Linked DNA regions of Nothobranchius furzeri. The protein of the gene in region 2 interacts with the protein of the main gene of each other region in a pairwise test. Links are inferred from orthologs where the notes say so. Each region holds a gene or a part of one and is shown on either strand. Other genes may lie near its edges.

The links.
Region 1: the proteins of pias2 (region 2) and tsr2 interact in binary tests that used the Homo sapiens proteins (3 or more experiments, as listed by UniProt). The two-hybrid records come from large-scale screens. The link is inferred for Nothobranchius furzeri from reciprocal best matches to the Homo sapiens genes PIAS2 and TSR2.
Region 3: the proteins of pias2 (region 2) and nav2a interact in binary tests that used the Homo sapiens proteins (3 or more experiments, as listed by UniProt). The two-hybrid records come from large-scale screens. The link is inferred for Nothobranchius furzeri from reciprocal best matches to the Homo sapiens genes PIAS2 and NAV2.

Annotation. Positions count from the first base shown.
Region 1 is NC_091755.1:47,643,035-47,646,789, reverse strand, and holds tsr2 (pre-rRNA-processing protein TSR2 homolog), read right to left. Parts: upstream 2,387-3,755; 5' UTR 2,369-2,386; coding exon 2,291-2,368; intron 1,464-2,290; coding exon 1,373-1,463; intron 1,247-1,372; coding exon 1,155-1,246; intron 1,079-1,154; coding exon 923-1,078; intron 480-922; coding exon 381-479; 3' UTR 100-380; downstream 1-99. UniProt on the Homo sapiens protein: May be involved in 20S pre-rRNA processing.
Region 2 is NC_091757.1:21,012,022-21,015,143, reverse strand, and holds the end of pias2 (E3 SUMO-protein ligase PIAS2), read right to left. Parts: intron 1,806-3,122; coding exon 1,602-1,805; 3' UTR 561-1,601; downstream 1-560. UniProt on the Homo sapiens protein: Functions as an E3-type small ubiquitin-like modifier (SUMO) ligase, stabilizing the interaction between UBE2I and the substrate, and as a SUMO-tethering factor.
Region 3 is NC_091749.1:51,507,793-51,511,547, forward strand, and holds the start of nav2a (neuron navigator 2), read right to left. Parts: upstream 2,495-3,755; 5' UTR 2,291-2,494; coding exon 2,096-2,290; intron 1-2,095. UniProt on the Homo sapiens protein: Possesses 3' to 5' helicase activity and exonuclease activity. Involved in neuronal development, specifically in the development of different sensory organs.

The DNA.
Region 1 (3,755 bases), on a different chromosome or scaffold from region 2:
GAAACATCAAAGAGAAATATTTCAGCCTTTCATTTCCTGTACTTGTGAGAATTCTGACTTGAAATGAGAAAATGACATCAGAGCAAATAAAACGGATCATTTAAACATCAGGATTCCAAAAGGTTTATTTCTACACGCTGAAACATTTGTGGTTGGTTAGGGTTAACCCTTACCCATCAGCCTTGGTTAGGTTAACCCTGACCCGTGTGAATCGGCCATGATGCTCCGACTCCAGTCGACCCCTGGTCAAGCTCCACCAGATTCCTGAATGGACTTGTCTTCACACAGCAGCTCATGCTTGAACATGCAGTTTCTGCAGATGTGAGCAGCTGGAACCATTAAGTCCAGTTAATACGGTTCCAGTTCTGCTCTTCATGTTCTCACTTCTTCCTCCTGACCAGCGTCCAGCTGTCCTCGGTGTCCTGTGGGGGATGAGGGGTTGAGCTGCCTGATGGGGTGGACTCGTCACACTCCATTGCCTGCACACACGGGTCGTTTTTTATTTGACTGTTGCCATGGTAACCTGTAACTTTACATGGTGATGCAACAAATATTTAAATCTCTTGTTTCCACTGGATGACAGATTTATGAGTATGAATTGTCTCCCACTCATCTGAACAGCAGGTGACCTCTGGTTCAGAACCAATCAGAGGTAACTGGGTCCAACTGGTTCCAGCAGACCTTCAAACCAGACCTGTAAGATCCTAAATCCAGCTGGAACCAGTCGGATCTTTGATTCAACTTTAATCCCATCCAATGATCAATTAAAGAACATCTGGAGCAAACAGATGTTTGGTTGTCCACAGGTTCTGACCCGGTGTTGCTCTGATTCTGCAGCCATGTTTACATTTACAAAGTGAAGCGCTGATCCATGTGGTCACATGACCAGATAAAAGTTAAACCAATCACAGGTGATGCTTACCGGAGCTTCATCAGTGCTCTCATCAGACTCAGTAGGTGGAGCCGTGACCTTTGCCCTCTGCGACCTGTTTTGAGTTAATGTGGTAACCTTCTGTTGAAGCTGTTGCAGCGCCCCCTGCTGCCACAGACCAAACACCTGCAGCAGATGGAGCGACACCTGTGCACAACCGGGAGGTACCTGGTTACTACAGGTGAGATAGCATCCGAATGACATGTCACAAGTGTGCGCATACCTGGGGCAAACTCCCATCCTCCACCATGGTGTTGAACTCTTGATCCATCAGCTCAGACAGGAAGTCCTCAACCTCATACTGCTGCAGGTCAGCTACACACACACACACACACACACGTGCATAAGGGACAAACAGGAATTGAGCTGCTGCTTTTCAAAAGTAAAAGGTTGAAGGTCACCTGACCAGATGTTCTGTCTGCTGTTTCTATGGTTACCTACTGTTGTCGTAGAAATACTGCTGAATGACATCCACCATCCACTCGGCCTTCTGCTGGCCGTAGATGCCTCCGAAGCCGTTGTCCACAGCAATCTGACAAACACACACATTTACGTCTCGGACCCACCAGAACTTCACAGGCACTGAAGAAGATGCTGTCACATCAGGCTGTTTCCTGATAACACTGATTGGTTACTAAAATAGAGCATTTGGACTAGCAGTTCTCTCCACCAATTATCTGCAGGTGGGCGTGGCTGACCCATGTGGGCCAAACCCTGGTCAGCTGCTGAAGTTTTGTCTAGAAAGTGATTCAAGATAATTACTGCATATCTTCTAAATAAATATAATTACTGCGATTATACATATAATTAAGACCACAAAACAATATAAATACATGTCAAATTCGTGGGGTAGGAGTTCGCCCTGTAACCGGTGGGTAACAGTAGCCTGACCAGCCAGATCCACGCTTTCTTAAACAGAACACGAGTCTGGCAGGCCAGGCCAGGGTAACAGGGGTGTTCGTACCCAGGCTCCATCAGTGTGAGTTGTGCCTTTGGGCAAGCCTTGCTATTGGTGGCCGCCCGGAGGCACCGGTGGCTCCTGTAGCATGCCCGGGGCAGCTGTGGCTACAGTGTTGAGTGTGTGTTATCCATAACTTAACCCTAACCGAGTCGTGTCAGAACTTTAAATCAAACCGGTCCGTCTAGAGGGAGTTCGGACGAACCAGAACCAGAATCACATCTGCACTGAAGTCCAAGATTTTTTTCAAAAACCATAAAAGCCTAAATAAAAACACGTGAACCTGTTAGCATCGGTCTGTTAGCTTCCGCAGATCATGTCTCTGTCCGTCTAAACGTCACATGTTTGTATTTCTGTGAAACCACCTGTCCGTCTCAGGTGGACCTGGTTCCGAAGCTCACCTGTAAAACCGGCCATGTGTGAAGAACCGCCCGAATTCCGTCTGTAAGTAGCTCACGTGACGCCTTAGATGTCGCCATGCTAGTTGTAACCGGGTCGATGAAATCGGTAATCAGACAAAAGCAACAGCTCATGATCGGAGTTCAGATCCGGGCACTAGAGCTGGTTCTGTAAAGCCTGCAGGTCCAGGAGAGGAGAGCCGGAGGTTTTCTGATTAATAATTGATGAAAAGTTTAAATACAAAATGTGGTAAATAAAAATAATAATACCCCTAATCTTCCATAAACTCACTAGCCTGGCAAGCCAGACTAAATAAATGTATTATTTATGTGTTTGAAACCCCTCTAGAGGGCTGTGATTGGCCAGCCAGAATGCTGTTAGGGGCTGCAGAGGTTCCAGTGGAGCGTTCCTAGACCAAACTTTGCAAAGTTTCAAGAAACTCCTGAAGACCCTGCTCTTCAGAGAGCATCTTCTTAACTAGCACCTTGCCTGCACCCGTCCCCCCTCTCTACTGTCCACTCCTTGTTCCCTCCTCTCCATGATTGATGTCAATGTTGTTGTTATTGTTGTTGTTAGCCTCAAGGGCAATATGCCGATTATCACTTGTAAGTCGCTTTGGACAAAAGCGTCTGCTAAATACATAAACATAAAGCAAGAAGTTGGTCTAGTTCACTAGGCTATAAATTCACCTGCTCTGAAATCAATTTCAAATAGTAATTTGTATAGAATCAGTTTACAAAGGCTGCTGAGTTTAAATTTGATGTAGTTTCTGTCACTTATGTCAACAGAGATTAATCAACTAAAAATCTTTTCTGTGATAGAATTTTAAATATGTGGAAGTCTCTCAAGGAGAGGCTAACATTCATTTAAACAATCCCTTCGTGGATTGAGTTTGGTAGGCCTACTGTAGAAAAAGATAAGCACACCTAAATTCTAATCAGTATTTTATTCTTATTAATAATTATTTTATACATAAATGACATCATTCGGTTCACAGAAACTCCTCCCATAGTGTATCATCCGGCCAGCCGCTAAAAGGGGCGTTTTGGTTTGTACGCGGGAACGACCCCCTGGTGTGGGGGCTGGGGGGTGCATTGACATGGTCGGGACATAGGGGAATGCATGGCCAAATTAGTTTGGGAACCGCTGTTCTAGAAGATATGAGGAGAACATTTCAGCTGTTTGTCAGCCACACAAGCCTTCTTTACAATAGAGGAAAGCTGGCACAGTCCTCCTCCTGAGGCTCATAGCTTAAAAACCGTAATACCGGGATTATGGTTTAGCTGCAGGCCTACAGGGGTGGACTGGGACCAAAATTTGGCCCTGGGGTTTTAATGAACCATCGGCCCTCGACAGGGGAGGTTGCTGCTTGCGACTCGTCTATCCCGCCAAATGTGGGGGAGGGACGGGGTGTTTTGTGTGCTGCTCGCGGACTTGTCTCTATAACCGCATGTGAGACGGGGTGGG
Region 2 (3,122 bases):
TGATCCAGAAACACCTGAGAACCTTTCCAGGTAGAGTGATTTATAAAGGGGCGATTGCGTGAAGCTGTGCGTACCCCATGTTTTATAGGTCACAAACCTACTTAATAATAATAATAAATTTTATTTAAAAAGCGCCTTTCTGGTCACTCAAGGACACTGTACAGAATAAAAACACAAATCATTCAATAAAACAAAGTAAACATACGTAAACATCAGCAAACAAGGCACTCTAAAATTCAAGATTGATATGTGGTTATGAAGAGGTGAGTTTTGAGTTGTTTTTTTGAATTCTGTGAATGAGTTAATGTTCTTGATGAGAGGCTGAAGGGAGTTCCAGAGTTTGGGAGCGGTGCAGCTGAAGGCTCTACTCCCCATGGTGCTGAGACAGAAGGAGGGCACAGAGAGATGAATGGAGGAGGACCTGAGGGAACGGGACGAGGTGACGTACATGGCGTATGTACGTCATGTTTTATAAATGAGACCCCTGACCTGTACTGGTCCACTGGGATGACCTTGTTGTGATTTGGTGCTATATGAATAAGCTCACTTGAATGATCAACTCTTTTCTGTAGAAAAAGTTTATTTAAAAAAATGATGTCACAAAGCAAAGCTTACAAATCCAGAAAATCTAACACAAGTTAGGAGGAAGTCCTGATGTAGGAAGTTTAGAGTCGGGTGCTCCAGGCCAGCCTCTGAGCTCAGCAGACACCAAAATAAAAACATGACAGTATGACAAGGCATGGGCATGTCAGAGGACAGAACTGCGACAAGCTGAGAGGCAGACGTGTTTTGTCACCTGACATCCAGAAATCATGGTGCATGCGTTCTCAGACTTGTTAAAGATGAGCTGCAGATGGACTTTATTCACAGTAGGAAGGTTTGTTCCACTCACCATGATTTATGCTGCCATGATCTCCCAGCATGCACCGGGCAGGTCTCCCATGTCACACAGGTTCTATATGTTGGGGATCTATCTGACCCAGTTGGTGTTTCTGAAACACCGAAGGCCGGTTTTCTCAGTGACCCTAACCTCTCTTTGGCCTGTTCTGATCTGGCACCAACGCATCCTGAATCTGGGCTCATATCTCAGCTCCATGTGAACGGACACGCTGCCACCCCCAGCAGTCTGAGACAGCTCAGACTCACAGCAGAACCTGGAGCTCAATCATTAATGAAAAAGCCCAACTAACGCCAATTTTTCTTGCATAGATGTAGGCAGGTTCTGAACCTGGTTTGAACTATGGCTTTTACACCGTTTCATCCTGAAAACCAGGAGAACAAGCACACATCCAGCTGATGAGGTCACGTGGACTCAGTGACTGGTCCTCTCATCTGTAACAGCTGGGTGTTAATGGTCTGTGGGAGCACTCCCACCTGTAACAGGTCCAGGATGCCTGTTGGTACCAGATATGAGGCCTGTCCATGTGATATGGCTGAAATAAAACATCTAATTTGGCACAAAACGTAAAGGTTACAGTGATCATTACTTTTTCAGGCTGGACAGAAAGAAAACTTTACATTTTAAAAAGACATTAGAAAAGAACATGCCTGCGTAAAAAACTGTTCACGTCAAAAAGGTCAGTGACGCTTAGCACCCTGATTCAATCCAGGGAGATGATGTCTGATATGCTGCCGTCAGTCACCCGTTCTCCAGTGATGACCCTAGCTTCGTGGATGGAGTCGGCAGCATGTCTGCTAGCGTCATAGTGGCTGGTGGAGGAGAGAGAAGTTGAGCTGGTGCTGGCTGTAGCAGCACTCTGCATCCTGCCTGTCAGGTTGTCCAGAAACATCTGAGGCCGGTAATGCTGAGGACAGACACACCATCAGCTTTAGTCTTAACCCAACCCACCAGGTGAGGGACAGCTGTGGGTGCGTCATTATAAACATGACGCTGTTTCCTTTGGCAGGTTTCTAACAATTCTATGTTTTGTAACAGCAGATTTCATCAAAAGTTGAAACGTGAAGAATGAGAATCTGTTGCAAAAGTTCATTTATGTCAGCAATTCTACTTCAAAAGTGAAGCTGAAGCTAATGAGCTGGCTGATGCGATCTCCTGAAATTTCAACCTGTCCCTCAGCCAATGCACTGTCCCCACATGTTACAAACCCCCAAGAAATACCCCCAAATCCTGCCCGAATGACTTCCGGCCCTAACTTCAGCTTTAGAGAGTGGTCGTGTCCCACATTAGAAGCTGTATACCGCACACTAGAGACCCCTGCAGTACGCCTGTAGATAAAACAGTTCCACTTCACTGCCACTGTGGCTGCTCGCCATATCCCCTCCCATCTTCCCACTCTTTTCTTGAAATGATTTTCCACAATGTTTTCAAGACTTTTTCAGCTGCTACAATACGAGTCATGTTATCACAACTAGGTCTGGTCGATACACCGATATTATTACCAAATTGGGATCATTTAGAATCAGATATGATATTGTACCGTTACATCAATATTATTGTTCTTTCACAAAGCCACCTGCTTTCCTGTACTTGCAAGGCAACACAACTAAAGCAGAAGATATTCTCTACACTGGTTCATACGCTGCTATTTTACATGCCAATGTCAGTTTAAATGTCAAAATTCCCACAGCCAAGCTGTATCAGTCACTCATGTTAGAAAATATAACTATTATCAAACTTTTAAATTCATTGGATCTGCTCACACCAAGGCACATTACACATCTGGTATACGTAATGGTGACCTGATTTACCTTTAGAACTTCCAAAAGGCCCAATGTGGTAGATCTAAGTGGCCGTGATGGAACGTATCGGGCTAGAACGTTACACAGATATGATGGTGCAGTTTGTATAAACTGAACACCAAGAGAAATCACTAGTTTGATTGTTTTTTCCGTGAATAAAATAAATAGGTCAGGCAGGAGCGTCTCAGGATCTGTCTGAGATCTGTCTCGGTGAGACAGATAATAGCAATCCAAAGTGCTTTTTATGTGTGATCTGACAATTGATCAACCATTGCTTAAAAATTAAATACAGCTTAGCCGGTTAGTTGCTGTGATCATAAAACACGTAAACGGCAGCACGCAGAACTCACGAGGCAACGTTTTACGTGATGTTTACTTGTTGCTATGAGTAATAAGACAGAAAAAGCCACGCCAAAATAAGT
Region 3 (3,755 bases), on a different chromosome or scaffold from region 2:
GTGTTAAGATGAATGCTGCATGAATGTTTGTCCCTCCTGCTCTAATAAACGTTTTTATGGATAAAGTTACGTATTGCTTGCTTTACTAACTGCAAAACATAACAGTAAAAAAGTAGAATTTTTTTCTTTCTTTCCTTCATGAAGAGTGATTCATCATTAACCATTTAATTGTCGTTTTAGTTAATTTTGGAGCACATAAAAAAGGTTTGTATAGGCTTGTAGGACAGGTGCCGCAGTTTTGTTAGAGGTGCAACATTTTCTGATTATTAGAGATTAAGTTGTAACGCAAAAATTCTTTGGCCTCGAATTGGGGGTGCTCAGGCTCAAGCGTTAATATTTTTACATGTTTTTTTTTCTAATTAATTAATGGTAATTAACATGTCAAGTCCCCACCCCTAGTTTCACTTCCTCTAACAAAACATTTTAGAGGACCATTACAGCGAAAATGAGCCTCAAACCAAGAACATAAAGCCTATTAGTGCTAAAAAGACAACAAAGATGCTTTCCTGGTTGAGCAATGACTTAAAACTCAGCCCACTCCTAGTGAACACTGTTAAGGTCTGACATCTATTTGCGGCTTTTGTGCACGCTGACGTCCACCTCTCCACCAAAGATTGATTGTCTGGTTTTATGTAGGATGAAGTGAACTGGATGAAAATTCATAAAGCTGCAGTGGAAAATGTGTAGATACTAAATGTAACTTTTTTACCCAGTGAAAAGGAAGAAGGAACATTAATGTAGCTTCTTATGTGCAAATTCATAAAAGGAGTTTCAGCAGTGAGATACAGGACTGCAGGGGGCTGATTCTCCCAGGAACTGATTTTTAATCAACTTTTCAAGCCCAATAGCATTGGTTAACAAAGGCTAAATAAAACATTACCTTCCTGCAAAAAAAAAAAAAAACTGCAACATAATCCACATGACACTGATTTAATGTTTGTGCATGTGAGCACATTTTAATCCATATTATAGTGTCACTTCTCTGGGAACAGCTAAACGATTTGGGGCAAAGGCGTCTTTTCGTCCACTGACTAAAAGAGAATCAAATTATTCTTGAAAATGCTTCTTGTCTCGAAATGAAATAAGATAAATGCAAATGCACATCTGCAGAAACTCGCGTCTCATCTCTCACTGGAGATTGGGTTCATCTTCGGTATCAGTGAAGAGAAACTCTCCTGCAGCGATCTGCATGCAGAAACATTCAGTGTTCATCCCAGCGGTTATGGCTCAATGCTTCACCAGTTCAAGAAATCCCAGAGGCTAAGCTCAAACAAATAAGAACAACAAAAAGTTAAACATCAGCCAAATGCAGTGTAACATTATCATTTCTGATGCATTTCAGCAATATTCAGGTCACTGCCACTAGTGGAAAAGGTCAGAGGTTAACCAAGCTGAGGGTGAAGAGGTGTGCTTCATCAGCACCACATGGATAGAGGGAAGAAAAAAAAGGAGGACAGAGGGGAGAGAGAAAGTCGTGTAAAGTAGGTCAGGGAGAAAACGTGATTGGCCACAAAACACCACCACTAGCATCAAACCCGTGTCATGTCCAAAGACGCTGTCCTTTCCATATGTTTTCCTCAGACTGAGTCCAAATTTGTCTCCAAATGACGCTGTGTTGGATGCCTTGGTGCTGATAACAGTCACGTTTACTGGACGGGTTGGCAAGCATGCAACTTGCTGGCTCGCTCAGACCGACAAGCAGAGACAGCTTCTTCCCCTCACAGACTTACATGGTGTTAGAGCCACCCCTTGCCCCGCTGCAACGCTTTGCGAGGAGTTGCTAAGCACAGCCAATATTTCACAAACACAGCAAAAAAGGCAGCCTGACATCCTGCTGCCATCCTGGACAGCAGCAGCAAGACCGCTTCATTACTGACTTAAGATCTGCGCTACACTCAGCTGAGCCAAGAAGACCATATGATGATGCTGCAGATCGGTGTGGCGAGGACTGATGATGCATTTCTTTCTTCTTGAGTTTTATATCAGAAATTATTAATCAAAACTTCCAGCAGAAGGAAGAATAAGATTGTGACCTTAGATTGGTCAGCATGACAGGTGTGTGTGTGTGTGCGTATGTGTGTGTTCATTTCCTGACCTGAGGGTTTCCACCAGCCTCTGACTCCGGAGCCTTTCTTGGGGGTCTTGAGGGGATGTGGCTCTTGAGTGGTGCTGAAGGCAGGGCTAAAGCTGATGGTCTGCTGGGAGTCTGGGGGATGGGGAGGGCACTGTGCACGGGTTTGGGTTTGGGCAGTCCAGACTTCATCTTTGAGGCCACCAGGATGGCTGGCATCTTCTCCTCTCACTCCCTCACTACCAGCTTACGCTCGCTCCCTGTCACGCTCAGATGGAAATCCTGCAGACCGTCAGTAAGAATCCCCTCTTACTCGCCCAGGGTGTGGCCAAATCACTGTAGCAAACATCAGAACTGCTTGACGTGGGATGTGTGGTGCGATTTGTCAGTGTCCTGACCTTAGCTGCTCCAGCTGGATCTGAGCCGAAAAGGTAGCAAAGCGTGCCAACATGCAGTGCAGAGGTTTAAAACCCCCAGTTCCCACCTGCTTTACATCACCAACCAGCTTCAGCTTAGGTACAAAACATTCAAACGTCCAAGGTTGGTATAAAATTCCTCTAGACAAAAATGTCCCATAAATTCCAGCAAGCTCATTGAAATCCCAATGCCACACGAAGAGAAATTCCCATATGCCGGGTGGGAGTGGGGGGATACCTTCTGCTTACTCCCAGTTCAGAGTGAGAGTCAGCAATTAACCACGTCTCATAGCAAGCTGAGCCTTTCCTCTCCGATAAAGCCTCAGAAATTAAACCATCAGTTCTGGATGACAGGAGTGAAGACCTTGTTTTATCATGAAAAGCTGCGCAGAAACAGATGGAGATAAAAAAAAAGAAAAGGCAGAAACAACGCAGCGACCGTTCGCTCCAGCGACTGCTCAGCCTGTGACAGCGCAGCCTGAAACGCAGCACTCTCTACCCCGCTGCTGCCTCTCTCCCTCTCTGGTAAGTCGTGTTTAGCAGCAGGTGTGGCTTAGATCAGAATGACATATGTGGAGAAAGGCTCAGCACACACATCCGTGGAGTCGTTTTCCACACAGTCTCTCTTTTAAAACACCACGAAAGATATTTATTCTCATCACAAATTTAAAAATCCTATTTCACAAGATTAAAATTTTGTTCCCATGAGCAATAAGCAACATTATTATTTGGAATTATTTCATTTGCTCAAAGTTTAAGATCCTTTCTTATAAAAACTGATGCAGGCGGAATCATTTTCAAAGCTTGTGAAGTCCAGCAGAGACATTATATTGATGGATTCTCCCTTCTTGTCTTTATTCCATAGTCTTTTAAATATGAATGATGGCCAGTTAGTGGACCGCTGCTGGACTATTCCAAACCCCAGCGGGCTCTAAGAAGCTGCCGAAGTTGTCGACTTAAATCTTACTGCAGCGCCAAACAGAAAAGTGAGGAAATACAGCCTGCAATTCCACTCATCCCTCCACTCTCATGGATTTTAGAAAGTAAAGACAAAACATGTTTGGATCCACCTTTAATAAGAGCAAAAAGCTGAATCCAAAGTCAAAAGTGATTTCACATTGTTGTCTTCGGTGTGAATTTAGTGGAGTGTTGGCAGATACTGGATCAGAGGACAGTCAACATCCAACAGACCTTTTTTCACACGTGCATATTTGTCATGGTGGGATCTGTTAATGATGACACTCCCAGAGGAGACTTTAGATCATCTC